Elephas maximus indicus: one gene and its partner. The protein of the gene in region 1 interacts with the protein of each later gene in a pairwise test. Links are inferred from orthologs where the notes say so. Each region holds a gene or a part of one and is shown on either strand. Other genes may lie near its edges.

Region 1 (8,636 bases):
TCTCTTGTAAGATAAAAAGTGTGACTTGAATAAGAATGGAAAGAGTGGTGACTGAGTTAACCCTTTCAAGAAGCAATTGTTTTCTGCTTTGAATTTTTTGTAGATACCACGTGTTTTCATTAATGGAAGCATGCTGAATCACTGAGTGTTGTTGAATTTTTGGTAGGTAGTATGGATTTTGTTTTCTTGCCCCCTCCCACAAGCCTACCCTTAGAATCCAGAGGGACACCCATTGCCCCACTAATTCTACCCCCAGAGTCCCCTCTGAGCCCACTGGGACATACATGTCTCCACAAAATTTCTGTTTTTTTCCTACCAAAAATGCACACAGCTCAATGCACAATACCCTGTAGAAACAGTAATTTGTGGCACACTCCTGTTTTTTTCAGTTTTAAACAGTCATAAAGGCTTCTGCCTTGTGCCAGCATGCACCCTCAGTGGGAAAGTAGCTTCCCAATGAACATAAGAGGCAGAAAATGTTGATGGACAACCGTATATCCCACTGGTCATGAAAAGGGTAAGGATGGTGACGTGAGTCATACCCTCTAGTAAGGCATTGACTCAAGATACATCCTACAGTAATTCTTTTTCGTTAACATAAGGGACAACTCACTCCCAAATGGGACTATAACCATAGGCATAGAGGCTAGGATTTATACCACATCACAAAATGGAGCATAATTATATCAGATTTCAAAATGGAGAATTACTACATCATTACATAACTTCTAAATTACTTCATTACATAACTGCCAAATGACTGAGAATTATTTTCCAGCCAAGGTGACACATAACCATCACAGGTTCCATACACCTTATTTGCATAGTCTCGCCAGTCATTGTGTGGGAATCACAAAGGCTAGGCCTACCCGTTGTCGTCAAGTCAATTCCGACTTATAGCGACCCTATAGGACGGAGTAGAACTGCGCCAGACGGTTTCCAAGGAGCAGCTGCTGGATTCAAACTGCCAACCTTTTGGTTGGCGGATGCCTAGAACGGCCATATTAAGTAGTTCACTGCACCACACCAAGGAAACGAGAAAGAGAAGCTGAGAAGAGACCAGGACCTTCCCCCAGAGCCAACAGAAAGCCTTCCACTATAGCCAGTGCCCCGAATTCAGACTTACAGCCTTCTAAACTGTGAGAAAATAAATGAGTTTGCTACAGTTACCCATTTGTGCTATTTCTGTTATAGCAGCACTAGATAACTAAGACATTCCTGCATTAACATAAACTCACTGACCCCTAAGTTTCCTATCTAACCTTTCAAGTTGCTCTTGTCAATTTGATCCCATATAGCTAGTTCTTCAAAACAGCACAACACTAAAGGCAGACATTCTTTGCTGGTTAAGCTGAGCTATTGTTTGGTTTAAAGAAGACTTCAGGGTATATTTTTTGCCATCTTGTTTTTTTTAATTGTGCTTTAAGTGAAAGTTTATAATTCAAGTTGGTTTTTCGTACAAAAACTTATATACACAGTGTTATGTGACCCTAGTTGTTCTCCCCACAATGTGACAGCACACTCCCGTCCACCCTGTATATCTCATGTCCGTTCAACCAGCTCCTGTCCCCCTCTGCCTTCTCATCTCGACTCCAGACAGGAGCTGCCCACATAGTCTCACGTGTCTACTTGAGCTAAGAAGCACATTCTTCACCAGTATCATTTTATGTCCTATCCCAAACCCACTCTAGTCCAGTCTAATCTTTGTCTAAAGTGCTGGGTTAAGGAATGGTTTCAGTTTGGGGCTAATAGAGAATCCGGGGGCCATGACCGCTGGGGTCCCTCCAGTCTCAGTCAGATCATTAAGTCTGGTCTTTTTACTAGAGTTTGGGTTCTGCATCCCACTTTTCTCCTGCTCCATCAGGGATTCTCTGTGTTTTTTTCTTTTTTTTTTTAATGCTTTCCAAGTAAATTGCAGAAGAAGTACGTTACCCCCAAATACTTCAACATTAATTATAGTTTAGATTCTTTTTGTATTGTGGTAAAATATATATAGCATAGAATTTGCCATTTTAACCATTTTTTAAGTGTACAACCCAGAGGCATTAATCACATCCACAATGTTGTACAACCATCGCCACTATCTGTTTTCAAAACTTTTTCATCACCCCAATCGGAAACTCTGTACCCATGTCTGAGGCTCGCTATATTTCAGTGAAATGGCTCACAAACCCGTGGGTCAGGCAGCAGGCTGGAGGCTTCTGACTCAGGTGGTTGGAGGGGCTGATAAACCCAAAATCTGCAGTTCAGGTGGCAGGCCGAAGGCTTCTCACGTTCCGAGAATCGGAGGTCAGAAGATGACAAGATGAACGCAGGATCAAAAGACTGTGAGCTTTGCCCCAACGTTTGTTTTCATATCATGAATGCAGGCCACACCCCCAAGGAAACACCTCTTCCAACTGATTGGCTGCTCACATAAGATCACAAAATGGGAGGTGGTTACATAGTGTCTGCCAAACCACTGAGAATCATAGCCTAGCCAAGTAGACACATGACATTAACCCTCACAACCCATTAATCATTTACTCCCCATTCCCCCTCCCCTCAGTCCCTGGTAGCCACCAATCTCCTGTCTCTGTGCATTTACCTATTCTAGATACCTCATGTGAGTAGAGTCAGACAATATTTGTCCTTTTGTGTCTGGCTGATTTCACTCAGCATTATGTTTTCAAGGTTCACCCATGTCCCAGCATGTATCAGAACTTAGATTCTTTTTTGATAGGTGAAATTCACACACAATAAAAGCCTCAAATCTCAAGTGCACAAGTTGGTGAGTTTTAACAAATGCACACGCCTGCCATGACTTGATTTTGATTCCATTTATATGACTTATCAGTCCGAGTGGTGCTGTCAGTGTGCTCAGCTGCTAACTGAATGGTTGGAAGCTTGAGCCCACCCAGAGGTGCCTCAGAAGAAAAGCCTGGCAATGTACTTCCAAAAAAAAATTAGCCATTGAAAACCCTCTGTAGCACAGTTCTATTCTGACACACACGGGGTCACCCAGAGTTAGCGCCCACTTGAAGACAACTTTTTTTTTTTTGAAGACAACTGGTTTTTATATCACTCAATGCCTGAGGTCCCTGGGTGGTGCAAACACTGTGCTTGACTACTGTCTTGGTCATCTAGTGCTGCTATAACAGAAATACCAGAAGTGGTTGGCTTTAACAAAGAGAAATTTATTCTCTCACAGTCCCGTAGGCTAGAAGTCCAAATGTAGGGCACCAGCTCCAGAGGAAAGCTTTCTCCCTTCTGTCAACTCTGGAGGAAGGTCCTTGTCATCAATCTTCCCATGGTCTCGGAGCTTCCTGCACAGGCACCCCGGGTCCAAAGGACACTCCCGGCTCTGCTTTCATGGTGGTATGAAGTTCCCATGTCTCTCTGCTCACTTCTCTCTCTTATATCTCAAAAGAGATTGGCTTGAGCCACTATCTAATCATATAGGTTCCATCAATATAACTTCCACTAATCCATTTTATTAACATCATAGCGATGGGGTTTACAACACATAGGAAAATCTCCTCAAATGACAAAATGGTGCACAATCACATAATACTGGGAATCATGGCCTAACCAAGTTGATACATATTTTGGGGGGTCACAACTGCTAAGCTAAAGGTTGACGGTTCGAAGCCACTCAGTGGAACTGCAGAAGAAAGGCCTGGCAATCTGCTTCCCTGAAGATTACAGCCAAGAAAACCCCATGGAGTACAGTTCTACTCTGTAACATAGGAGATTGCCCTGAGTTGAAACTGACTCAACAGCAATGGAGTTTGTTTCGTTTTTTATCAATGTCTGGTATTTTCTCATTCACTTATTTTTCTGTTCCCACCCTGCCCCTCTCATCACCACCACACACTCTCATAGAATCTTCTAGGGCAGAGACTGGGACTCGTTACTCATTCACCACCTTCTCCCAGCTCCCAGGAAAGTGCCAAATTCACAGAAAACAGTAGGCAATGGGGATGGAGAAAGAAGAAGAAAGTAGGCAGCGGGGATGAAGAAGGAAAATGTTACTGAAGAATCAAGTATGAGTGTGGGGGTGTCCTAGTTATCTAGTGCTGCTATAGCAGAAATACCACAAGTGGGTGGCTTTAACAAACAAATTTATTTTCTCACAGTTTAGGAGGCTAGAAATCTGAATTCATGGCACTAGCTCTAGGGGAAGGCATTCTTTCTCTCTCGGCTCCGGGGAAAAGTCTTTGTCTCTTTTCAGTGTCTGTAAGCCTGGCGTTCTTTGGCTTCTTGGTGATCTTCACGTGGCAGGGCATCTGTCTTCCCCAGCTGTGTTTCTTTTTTCCTTGCTTAACTGCTCCTTTTATTGAAGAGATTGACTCAAGGCACACTCTAACACTGTCTCACTAACATAACAAAGAAAATCCATTCCCAAATGGGATTATAACCACTGGCATAGTAGGATTTACAGCACATATTTTTGGGGGACACAATTCAATCCATAACAGGGGGACTGAGTGACCCCACGGTTATTTTCAGGAAGAAGGTAGCTGGACTCCTTCAACCAGTGGACCAACCCATTCTAAATTCTGGGATAAAATGAGTAAATACATCACACTTCTGAAGGGGAGGGACACATTCCCAGTAGAACTGAAGTTCTTGACCCAGGAGAGTTCACTGAGGTTCCCTGGGGGAATCTGAGGAGCCAGGGTCACTCCCTATCCCTGTCCCCCCCTTTGTGGGGCCCAGTGGTTGGATCCTTTGTGAGGCAGGCTGAAGGGGGACAGGGGATTCTGTGGGTCTGTGGTCAGAGTAGGTGGTTAGTCTCAGAGGAAGGAGCCCCCAGGAGCAGGGCCTCCCCACACACCATGGCCAGCGTGGTGGTGAAGACAATCTGGCAGTCCAAAGAGATCCACGAAGCCGGGGACCCCCCAGCGGGGGTCGAAAGTCGCTCTCAGCTGATCCCAGAGGCCCCTGGGGGGGTGATCAGCCCAGCCAAGGGGATCACAAAGAAAAAGAAGGCCGTGTCGTTCCATGGGTGGGTTTGTCGCACGCTATCAGGGACGGTCCTAGCACCCAGCGTTGTCTCCAACAGAGCAGGAGTCCCACTGTGGGTCCTGGAGGAAGGGAAGCGGGCAGAGGAGTGGCAGGCAAGAGGGCAGTGGTGGAGCAAAGGGGGAAGGAGGAAGGGATGAGGAGCATGGAAGGTAGAGAGGAAGAAGGGAGTGGGGATGGAGGGAGGGAGGGAAAAGTCAGGAGAAGGCCGGGGGGACTGGAGAACGGAGAAGAAAATAGGCAGCGAGGAAGGGCAAAGGAGAAGAAATTAGGCAGTGGGGATGAAGAAAAAAGTAAGTAGGTAGGGGTAAAGGAGAAGGAAGAAGAAAGTAGCCAGTGGGGATGGAGAAGGAAGAAGAAAGTAGATAGCAAGGATAGAGAAAGAAGAAGAAAGTAGGCAGAAAAAAAAAGTAGGCTGCAGGGATGGAGAAGGAGTAGGTGGTGGGGAAGAAAATGAAAGTAAGTGGAGGCTGGAGGCAGAGGAAGCAGACAATGTGGAGACAGGGAGACAGGAGGGGCCATGCCCTGGGGGCTAAATCCCGACCTTGTGCGTGTTTCTCCTCCCCAGGGTGGAACCCCGGATGTCCCATGAGCCCATGCACTGGTGTCTGAACCTCAAACGGTCCTCGGCCTGCACCAATGTGTCACTGCTCAACCTGGCTGCCATGGAGACCACCGACTCATCAGGCACAGATTCCACCACGGAAGACAGCAGTGGCCCTCCTGCACTACTCGGGCCCCCCGCCTCCCCTGCCCCACCCTGGGCTCCAGATGACCCAGACATTACGGAAATACTGGTGAGGGTCCCCCGGCTGGGGAAGACAAGGGTCCTCACACTGGTGGTAGGCAAACATTGAGGATGGGGAGGGTCTTCTTGATTTGAAATGAGAAGGTTCTTGTCACCCTTCAAGGCCCAAAGGAATGGCCTTCTCCTCCCTCCACTGACAACCAGACATCCTGGGCGAATCATGCCTGCCCTGGGAGTTTTGTTTTTAGTTCATTCAGTTATTTCCACATGTTCCAGGCAAGGCTGAGGTCACAGGCAGGACCCCTCAGGGAGCTCCCAGTCTGGTGGGGGGCAGCAGACATGATATATGCTATAATGAAGGTGACACTGGGAATCCCATGGAAGGGGCCCTCCATCCAGGCTGGGGGTATCAGGGAAAGCTTCCTGGAGGAGGCAGTGCTAAAATTGGGCCTTGAAGGATGAGTAGGAGTTCTCTGGGTAAAACTGGGAGGTCAGCAAGACCTAGGGAATTCCTGAGTGGAGCATGGAGCTCTTCAGCTTGGTCCCTGAGCTTGTCTTTTCTCTCCTTCCCCACCACCAAGGCGTCCTCTGGGCCAGACCCTGAACAGAGTCAGACATGGACCCTGAGAATCACTAACAATAACCACGATCACCATGAGGATAACAAGGTTCACTAGCATTTACTGAGCACTTTCTAAGTTTCCAGGAGCCTCAGTTTCCTCATCTGTAAAATGGAGATTCATACTTTTGTTCTTCCCACAAATATTTCCTAAACCCCTACGAGATACCAGGCACTGGCCTAGGAGCAGAAAATAGAGCAGTGAACAAATGAGAATTCTGGAGATAGCAATACCCACCTCATGAGTGAGGGTACCATGAAGACGAATTGTGGATAAGCCATGTTGAACGTGTAGCACAGCGGCCAGCCTCTGGGAAACACTGACTAAGTGCTGGCTATCACCGTTGCTGCTGTTATTGATCCCCATTTTACAGATGGAGACAGTGAGAGCACAGAAGTTTAAATACTGTACCTAAGGCCACATAGCTTGTACATGAGGGAGCCAGGCTTAGGAGCCAGGCAGGGGGTGAGAGACATCCTGAACTAATGGGGGCAGCAGAGGTCCCTGTGGGAGCTTTGAGGAGGGAGGCCTTGGCCCAGCTGGCTATGGTCAAGGAGAACTTTCCTGAAAAGGCAAAACACAAGCTAGATTTTGAAGATAAGATATTCTCCAGGCAGAATACAGAGGAGGGTGTTCCAGCTATCTGGAACAGCATGTGCAAATGGACAGGGGCTGAAATGAAAGGAGGGAGATGAGGTTGAAGGGGACATCACGTCACAGGCTGAAAACATGGGCGTTTCTCCCGAGGGCGTTGGGGAGCCAGTGTGGGTCCATGAGCAGGAGAAAGAGAACAGTAACTTAGGATTTTGGCTCCTGTACTAGTTTTCTAGGACCACCTTAACAAAATACTACAAGTGGGTGGCTTATAAAAACAGAAATTTAGTATGTCACAGTTCTGGAGGCTGGAGGCCCAAATTAGGGCATCGGTACTCTCTCTGAAGCCTCTAGAGGAAGATCCTTTCTTAGCTCTTTCAGCTTCTGGCAGTCCCAGGTGTTCCTTGGCTTTATGGATGCATCTTCACATGGTTGTCTTCCCTCTGTCTCTCTATATATTTTCTCATTTATAAGGGCACCACTCAGATTGGATTATGGGCCCCTTTACTCCAGTATGATGTTTACTGATTACACCTGCAAAGACCCTAGTTCCAAAAACCAAACCAAACAAACAAACAAACAATCGCAGCTGGAGAAGAAGATTCCAACTCATAGTGACCCTATAGGACGGAACTCCTTCATAGGGTTTCCAGGGCTGTAAATCTTTACGGAAGCAGACTGCCACATCTTTCTCCCATGGAGCAGCTGGTAGGTTCAAACCACCTACCTTTCAGTTAGCCGCCAAGCACTTAACTACTTCACCACCAGGGCTCATTAAAGGTAAGCAGGTGCCACTGAGACATGAACTGGAATCCCTGGATTAAAAATTCAGAGTGCTGGCACAGTGACTAAGCAATCGGCTGCTACCCAAAAGGTCAGCGGTTCGAAGCCACTAGCCACTCCGCTGGAGAAAGATGTGGAAGTCTACTGTGAAAATTCAAAGGAAACCAAACCCGTAAAGATCACAGCTTTGGAAAACCCTATGGGGGCAGTTCTACTCTGTCCTATAGGGTCACTATGAGTCAGAATCAACTCAACAGCAACGGGTTTATTTCCAAACGAGGTCACATTCACAGGTACCAGGGGTTAGGACTTCAATATATTTTTTGGGGGGGACACAATTCAACCCCTAACGTCTCCTTTCCCATTTACTGTGCACCTACCATGTGCTGGGCAGAGTGCTAAGTCCCTCAGGGTGAGGATCTCATTTTCTTAGAGTTTCTGTGAGGGAAGTGGCATAACTACCCAGCTTAAAGATGGTCCACCAGCCGCTTCTTGGAAACCCTATGGGCAGTCCTACTCTGACCTATAGAGTTGCTATGACTCGGAATCAACTTGATGGCAATAGGGTTTTTTTTTGTAAAGCTGAAAAACAAAAACAACAGAGGTACAGAGAGGTGAAGGGCCAGGACAACAAGGTTAAGGGGGTTTGATGCTAAAGCAAAAGTTTTTTCTTTCTCTTAAAAAGGCTAGGGCCTTGTGGGGACATCTGGATGGGAGAGGCTGGAGGTGGGAGGCCAGGGAGGAGGCTGGGAGGGGCCCCAGGGTCTGAGGACAGGTTATGAACCCGGTGAAGAGAAAAGACCAGGGCGAGAGAGGCCGTGGGAGGTGGGGGACGGCCTGGGGTATCTCCTTCTCCCCAGAGCAAGCCCTTCCCTCTCCAGAAC
Region 2 (6,666 bases), on another chromosome or scaffold:
GGGCAGGAAGGGACTGGATGGTGGATCCCCAGGAAGTGGCTTCCTATGCCAGGGACCTCTCAAGTTGAGAGTGCTGGCTCTGCTTGCAGTTGTGGCTAACGGTCTGGGCAGCCCCACAAGGCTGCCAATGGGGGAGGAGACATTGCTGAGGGTAGCTGCTCCAGCCCCTCGGCCCCTTTTTAGTCCTCCAACCTGCCAGGCAGCTCATGTTTTCTGATCTGTCACCATGCCATCCCACCAGCCCAGAAGGAGGGATGCTGCTGCGAGATGTGTCCCTCAGTCACTATGTGGCCCTGACTACACCTCATTCCCCTCCAGGCCCCAATCTGTCCACAGGGGTGATGCCTCCCTGCCAGAGGTGGCAAGCAATACTGGCAAGGAGAGGAAAGGACCAGCATCCTTACCAAAGCAGCCTGGCACCTGCTGGCAGGGAAAGGGGCCCCCGGCGGCCACAGAGGGAATGGCCTGCACGTAGCACTGTGGCTGCAGTCCCACGCATCCTCACCTAGCCTGCCGTGCCCCTCTTCTAACTCTGTACCACACTCCAGACCACCTCTTCTGGACCTGTGGCTCTTGGCTGTCTCCTGAGGACAAGAGCCTTCACACAACTCTCCCGAATCTGCCATCCCCTATCTGCATCCCTATTTTGGGCAGACCGCAACCCAGGGGGCTGGGAAAAGAGGTAGGTCCACTCTGGGCCTGCCCTCTGCACCTGCCATATCCAGTCCACCTCTCTGCCTAGCCCCTCCCTCTCCCCACAGCCCCCTAGTCTCTTCCCACAGCAACCAGAGCCCACCTCCATCATCCTGCTCTCATTGCCCATGAAGGAGCCCAACGGCTAGCCCTGGAGGTCCTCACAGGTCTAACCTCCTGCTGTTTCCCCTCCCTCCTCTGCTGGCCTCCCAGCCCATCCCTCACCCCCACCCCGCCGTCGTCACACTGCGCACTGGTCTGGGCAGACATGCCCAGGCTGTGCTCAGGGGCAGAGACCCCGCCCTTTCTCATACCCTCCCGGTCTAACTCCTGCCCATCTCACCAGGATCCACAAGGCCTTCTGGGAGTCCCCAGAGGTACCTGGACACACGCATCCCAGGGCACAAGCACAAACCAGGCCCCAGGTAATACTGGAGGAGTCAGAGCCAGCCCAGACCATGCTACTCACCTCGTGGTCAAGCACACTGCACAGGTGGCAGCGGGGGTGGGGGCCTTCTGGAGGCCAACTTGGGGAAGTCCTGAGGAGGAGCTCATGAATGTCCTCCCTCTGTCACATCCGTGCAGTTCAGCCAAGAGGCAAGCCTGGGTGGGAGGGGCCGTGGGAAAGAGCACTCGTGTACCTCCTCGGCAACCAAATCCATGAGGTGGGCATCCAATGGCTGCCTTCACGGTGAGAAGACAGCTCGGGGGGCAGGTGGCCTGCCTGAAGTCACAAGCCTGGGGTGGGGCCTGTGACCAGCTCAACCCAGGGGCTCCACCCTCATCACCCCAGCCCCACGAGGCTGCCAGTGGGGGAAGGTCATTGCTGAGGGCAGGTGCTCCAGCCTCTCAGCCCCTTTTCAGCCCTGCAGCTTGCCAGGCAGCTTGTGTTTTCTGATCTGTCACCGTGCCGTTCTCCCAGCCAGCACCCAGCTCTCAACAATGCCGAGCTGTCCCACTAGCCCAGGAGAAGAGGGGGTTAGACCCCTTCAGTGACCCCCAAAGACCCTCAACATGGCCCTCCATGGCCTGTCCGAGCTCCCATCAGCCCCTGCACACTCTTGCCACACTGCTTCCTCAGCCTTCAGCTGCCCCCCACCCTTCATTTGACGAATTCCCCTGACAGTAGTCTTCTCCAGCCTCCCTAAGTCCAGTCCCGAAGCTCTACGTCCTCACAGCACCGTGGGCATCTGCCACAGAACAGCCACCATTGTCAATTCACACTTGGTGTGATAACGAGCCATGCAAATCTCCTTCCGCACCTCTGGGCTCCCTGAAGGCCAGGGCCTGCCTCTAGTTTATCAGCATCCCCAGCACCTAGAACAGACTCTCAAGTATTTGTAGAACGAATAAGTACATGGGTACCCACTTTATAGAGGAAACAAGCTCAGGGAAGTGGCTTTCGTGGTGTCAAAGGACCCAGGTCCGTAGGTCTCCAACCCAGAGGACTTTAGCACTAGGAATAACCCTGGAGGGCCCCAGGTCCAATCTCAGCCCCTCAAACACACACACCTGAGTCCCCACCCTGCCTGGAAGGCTCAAGGATGAGGAGGCTCCCTCCTCCCAGAGCTCCCTGCTCCATGCCCACAGCTCCCTTGGTGATGCTGATCCTGGGCAGAGTCAAAGTGCAAGGGATGGAACTCACAAGAAAGGGAGGAGTCAGTGTGCTCAGCCAAGAAGGCAGACACACAGAAGGACTCCCCGGAGCATTTAGGAGCATTGGAGGGATGGGGAGTAAACTCCTGTGCCACATGCTCCCGGATCCAGCCTGCAAATCCACACAGTCAGCCCCTTCTGAGTCCCGCAGGAGTGAAGTTCTGGTAGTTTTAGCCGAAGGGGGTGCCCAGGAGAAAGGAAATGTACTGAGCTACAACTATTAACAATGGATGCTCTTGAGAAAGAGTGGGCCCAGGGGAGAAGGGCTCAACAGGGACAGGGGGCTGTAAGCAGGGGATCACCACTCTGCTCCCACCTGACATCTCACCAGGATCCACAAGGCCTTCTGGAAGTCCCCAGCAGGACCTGGACACACGCATCTCAGGGCCCAAGCCCAAGCCAGGCCCCAGGTAATACTGGAGGAGTCAGAGCCAGCCCAGACCATGCTACTCACCTCGCGGTCTGCCCTGCCCCTGGAGCTCTTCCACACTAACCTCTGGACAGAAAGCTCCTGGTCAGGTCACCAGACAGGTCCACACGGCCATACTTCTGGCCAAGATAACATCGGCTGGCACCCCTGCCTCTTGTCAACCCAGAAGAAGCTCCTCCACGTCCCTGCTCCAATGTCACTTCCTCTTGGGAACCTTTCCTGGCCAGCCACCTAGAAGCAGGAACACTGAGCACACGGCAGGCCTGCCTGGGCACCTCAGCCACAGCTGCCAGACAGAGCTCCTGAGCCAAGGAGAGCAAGTGCTCCAGACGTGTGGGCTCAGGGTGCTCCTGACAGACGAGAAGCAAACATCGGAGCTTCCAAAGGACTTAAGGAGACACATAAGGATGGTGCAAAGCAAAAGCCGATGCACATATCCTGAGCAAGCACCTGGGTGAGGAGCGGGGCCTGATGCATGGTGAGGAGTCCAGCAGGCAAAAATACTCCCACTCTTCATGAAGGTCCCAAGTGACAGAGTTCAGGCCCCCCTCCTCACCCAGGTGCTTGCTCTTAACAGTCAATGGTTGGGGTGCCACCCCGCCACACACACACCCAAGCCCTGCCAGAGGCCCCACCCACTCACTGACCCAGGCAGCCCCATTCAGCCTCGTCACCTCTTACCTGGTTAAAGGCACTGGCCTCTAAACATACCCTAAAGCCCACTATCTACGCTCGCTGCCAATGACCGTCTTAAAATGCGACTTGGGTCACGGCCCCTTCCGTCCTGTGCCGTGCAACAGCTGCCTGTCACCCAGGACAAAAGCCCTCCACAAACTGGCCACAACTCACCTTCTCTTCCACTTCCCACACAGCCATCAGGATGCCCTACCTCCTCCTCTGGCTGGCCAAAGCCTTTCCCTTCCTCAGGCTGGCCCCACTCCTTGAAACACAGGTCTGTCTGCCCTGGGCTACAGTACACACAGCTGGCCATTGCAGCATCCCTGCGCCCTGCCCACCCTGCCACCCACTCACACACTCCTGCTCACTGGAGCAGTGACTCCCTCTACCTACCTCCCAACCCCAAAAAGCTGCAGCTCCTGTTCCCAAACATGGAGCTGCTCCTAGCCACCAGGCTAGATGTCGCCACCTGGCTGGGCCAGGACAGTCCCTCCCAGGCGTCACTGGCTTTAGAGACATACTTTAGAGACAATTTTCTTCACCCCCACAAGAAAGCTACAGAAAACCACCCCTACTGGAACCAGGACCAATGCAGGTTCAGCCCCCACAACCAGGGGTGTGAACTAGGCCCCGGCCACCCCCCTTCAGGCCTGACGCTGAAGGCATTCCTTGTATTGCCCACCCTGGCAGGAAAGGCACAGCAAAGGAGGTGAAGGGAGGGTCACCACAGTCCTGGGTGCCAACTTCCTCCCCACAGGTGGGCAGCGGGTGCTCTTGCCAGGCCGACCTGGCTTTGCATTCTAGGGGCCCATTCACCCCACCTTAGTCCCCACTCCCAGCAGCCTGGCTTTATGACTTCATTTGCTGAAGTCACCCAGGGACAATGCTGAGCATTCCACCCTCCAACTCCAAGCCCAGCCCACTCAAGCACTCCCCACAGTGTAAATGAGGACAATGTCTGCTGGCCCACGTGGGGAGGGGATGTAGAGGGCAGCGGCACCGGCCGCTCCTGGCACCATGGACGATGCCGCAGTCCTAAGGAAGAAGGGTTACATCGTGGGCATCAATCTGGGCAAGGGCTCCTATGCAAAAGTCAAATCTGCCTACTCCGAGCGCCTCAAGTTCAATGTGGCAGTCAAGATCATTGACCGCAAGAAAACACCCACTGACTTTGTGGAGAGATTCCTTCCTCGGGAGATGGACATCCTGGCAACCGTCAACCACCGCTCCATCATCAAAACCTACGAGATCTTCGAGACTTCCGATGGGAGGATCTACATCGTCATGGAGCTTGGCGTCCAGGGCGACCTCCTGGAGTTCATCAAGTGCCGGGGAGCCCTGCATGAGGATGTGGCACGCAAGATGTTCCGCCAGCTCTCTTCGGCTGTCAAGTACTGCCATGACCTGGATGTTGTCCACCGAGACCTTAAGTGTGAGAACCTTCTCCTCGACAAGGACTTCAACATCAAGCTGTCTGACTTCGGCTTCTCCAAACGCTGCCTGCGGGACAGCAGCGGGCGCATCCTCCTCAGCAAGACCTTCTGTGGGTCTGCGGCATATGCAGCCCCCGAGGTGCTACAGGGCATCCCCTACCAGCCCAAGGTGTATGACATCTGGAGCCTGGGTGTGATCCTCTACATCATGGTCTGCGGCTCCATGCCCTACGATGACTCTGACATAAAGAAGATGCTGCGCATCCAGAAGGAGCACCGCGTGGACTTCCCCCGCTCCAAGCACCTGACGAATGAGTGCAAGGACCTCATCTACCGCATCCTGCAGCCAGACGTCAACCGACGGCTGCACATTGATGAGATCCTCAGCCATGCTTGGCTGCAGCCCCCCAAGCCCAAAGCCATGTCTTCCAGTTCCTTGAAAAGGGAGGGTGAGGGCAAGTACCGGACTGAGTGCAAACTGGACACCCGGCCAGGCTCGCGGCCTGACCACCGGCCCGACCACAAGCTGGGGGCCAAAACCCAGCACCGGCTGCTGGTGGTGCCTGAGAACGAGGACAGCAGGATGGAGGACCGGCTGGCCGAGGCCTCCAGGGGCAAAGACCATCACCCTTCTGGAGCCGAGGTGGGGAAAGCAAGCACCTAGCAGTAGTGAGGGCCCCGGGTGGCTGGTGAGTGGTTGGCACTCACGTAAACTAAGTAGCCAGCTAGGAGCTGAAGAAGGCACAGGTGCAAGGAACAAGTAAAATCCGTCAATTAAACCACTATTTTGATTATGTTCTATTAGCTTTCTTCCACTCAGTAGCAAAGACATTAACTACTGACCACCAAATAAACCACAAAGTATATAAAGCTGCAACAGTGCCCAGTGAGGAGTCTTTTTCTCTAGGACTCAGCCAGCCCCGTCCCTGCGCGTGGGGGGTTCCGGTATAGGGACACAGGAAGATTCATCGCGAGGCCTGTGGGCACAGACCCCACATCTGTCTCCCTCTGACTTGCTCCCAACCCTACTGCCAACACAGGCTGGGATAGGTCCATGTCTGGCCACCTCAGATGCAATGCAGCTCACTTGACCCCACCACACTCTCATACTATCCTTTCACAGCATCTTCCTCTCCTCCCACCCCTGGGGGTGCCCTGCTAGGACCGGTCCTCTACACCCTCCCCAACCTCTCGCTTGCCCTGTGAGCTCTGACTTCCCCAGTGTGTCTGTCCAGCCCCGCGCAAGGCCCTAAGCAATGGTTCACGGGCCAGTTTCTGCTTTGTTCCCCACATGACCCCAGCACATGCCCCACACTAGCCAACTGCTCAAGGTGTTCTGGCTGCAATTCCTGACCCTGTGGAGGGCCCTGTCTGGAGAATACCCCCTTCTCTATCTGACTCATGCCCACCTCTGCCTCCCCACTTCCTGGGGGCTCCCTGAGGCCAAAGCTCACCCTTTCCTAAGGGGAAAAAGCACCGAGAGCCCCACCTTCCAGACCCCTAGGCAGTCCCAGCCCCACCACACCCCGCCCCCATCCCTTGGTGGTAGAGGGCATGCTGGGGGCTCAGCCCCACCAGGAGCTTGCAGGAACTGTCAGGAGCACAGGTCAGTGCTGCCCTAGGCAGCGGGTGTCAGGTCCTGGGTTGGGCCTCCAGAGAATATCAAGGACTTATGGGAGGGAGTGGCCAGATGGAGGAGGCCCGGGTGCAGGAAGCTTAGAGAAGATTGCCAGGTGCAGCCTGAACAGACTCCCAAGTGTGCTTCCCTGAGTACCC

Evidence for each region.
Region 2: the proteins of TSKS (region 1) and TSSK2 interact in binary tests that used the Homo sapiens proteins (3 or more experiments, as listed by UniProt). The link is inferred for Elephas maximus indicus from reciprocal best matches to the Homo sapiens genes TSKS and TSSK2.

What each region holds. Positions count from the first base shown.
Region 1 is NC_064829.1:100,183,452-100,192,087, reverse strand, and holds the start of TSKS (testis-specific serine kinase substrate), read left to right. Parts: upstream 1-4,774; 5' UTR 4,775-4,820; coding exon 4,821-4,990; intron 4,991-5,575; coding exon 5,576-5,804; intron 5,805-8,636. UniProt on the Homo sapiens protein: May play a role in testicular physiology, most probably in the process of spermatogenesis or spermatid development.
Region 2 is NC_064840.1:34,803,770-34,810,435, reverse strand, and holds TSSK2 (testis-specific serine/threonine-protein kinase 2), read left to right. Parts: upstream 1-4,422; 5' UTR 4,423-4,474; coding exon 4,475-5,554; downstream 5,555-6,666.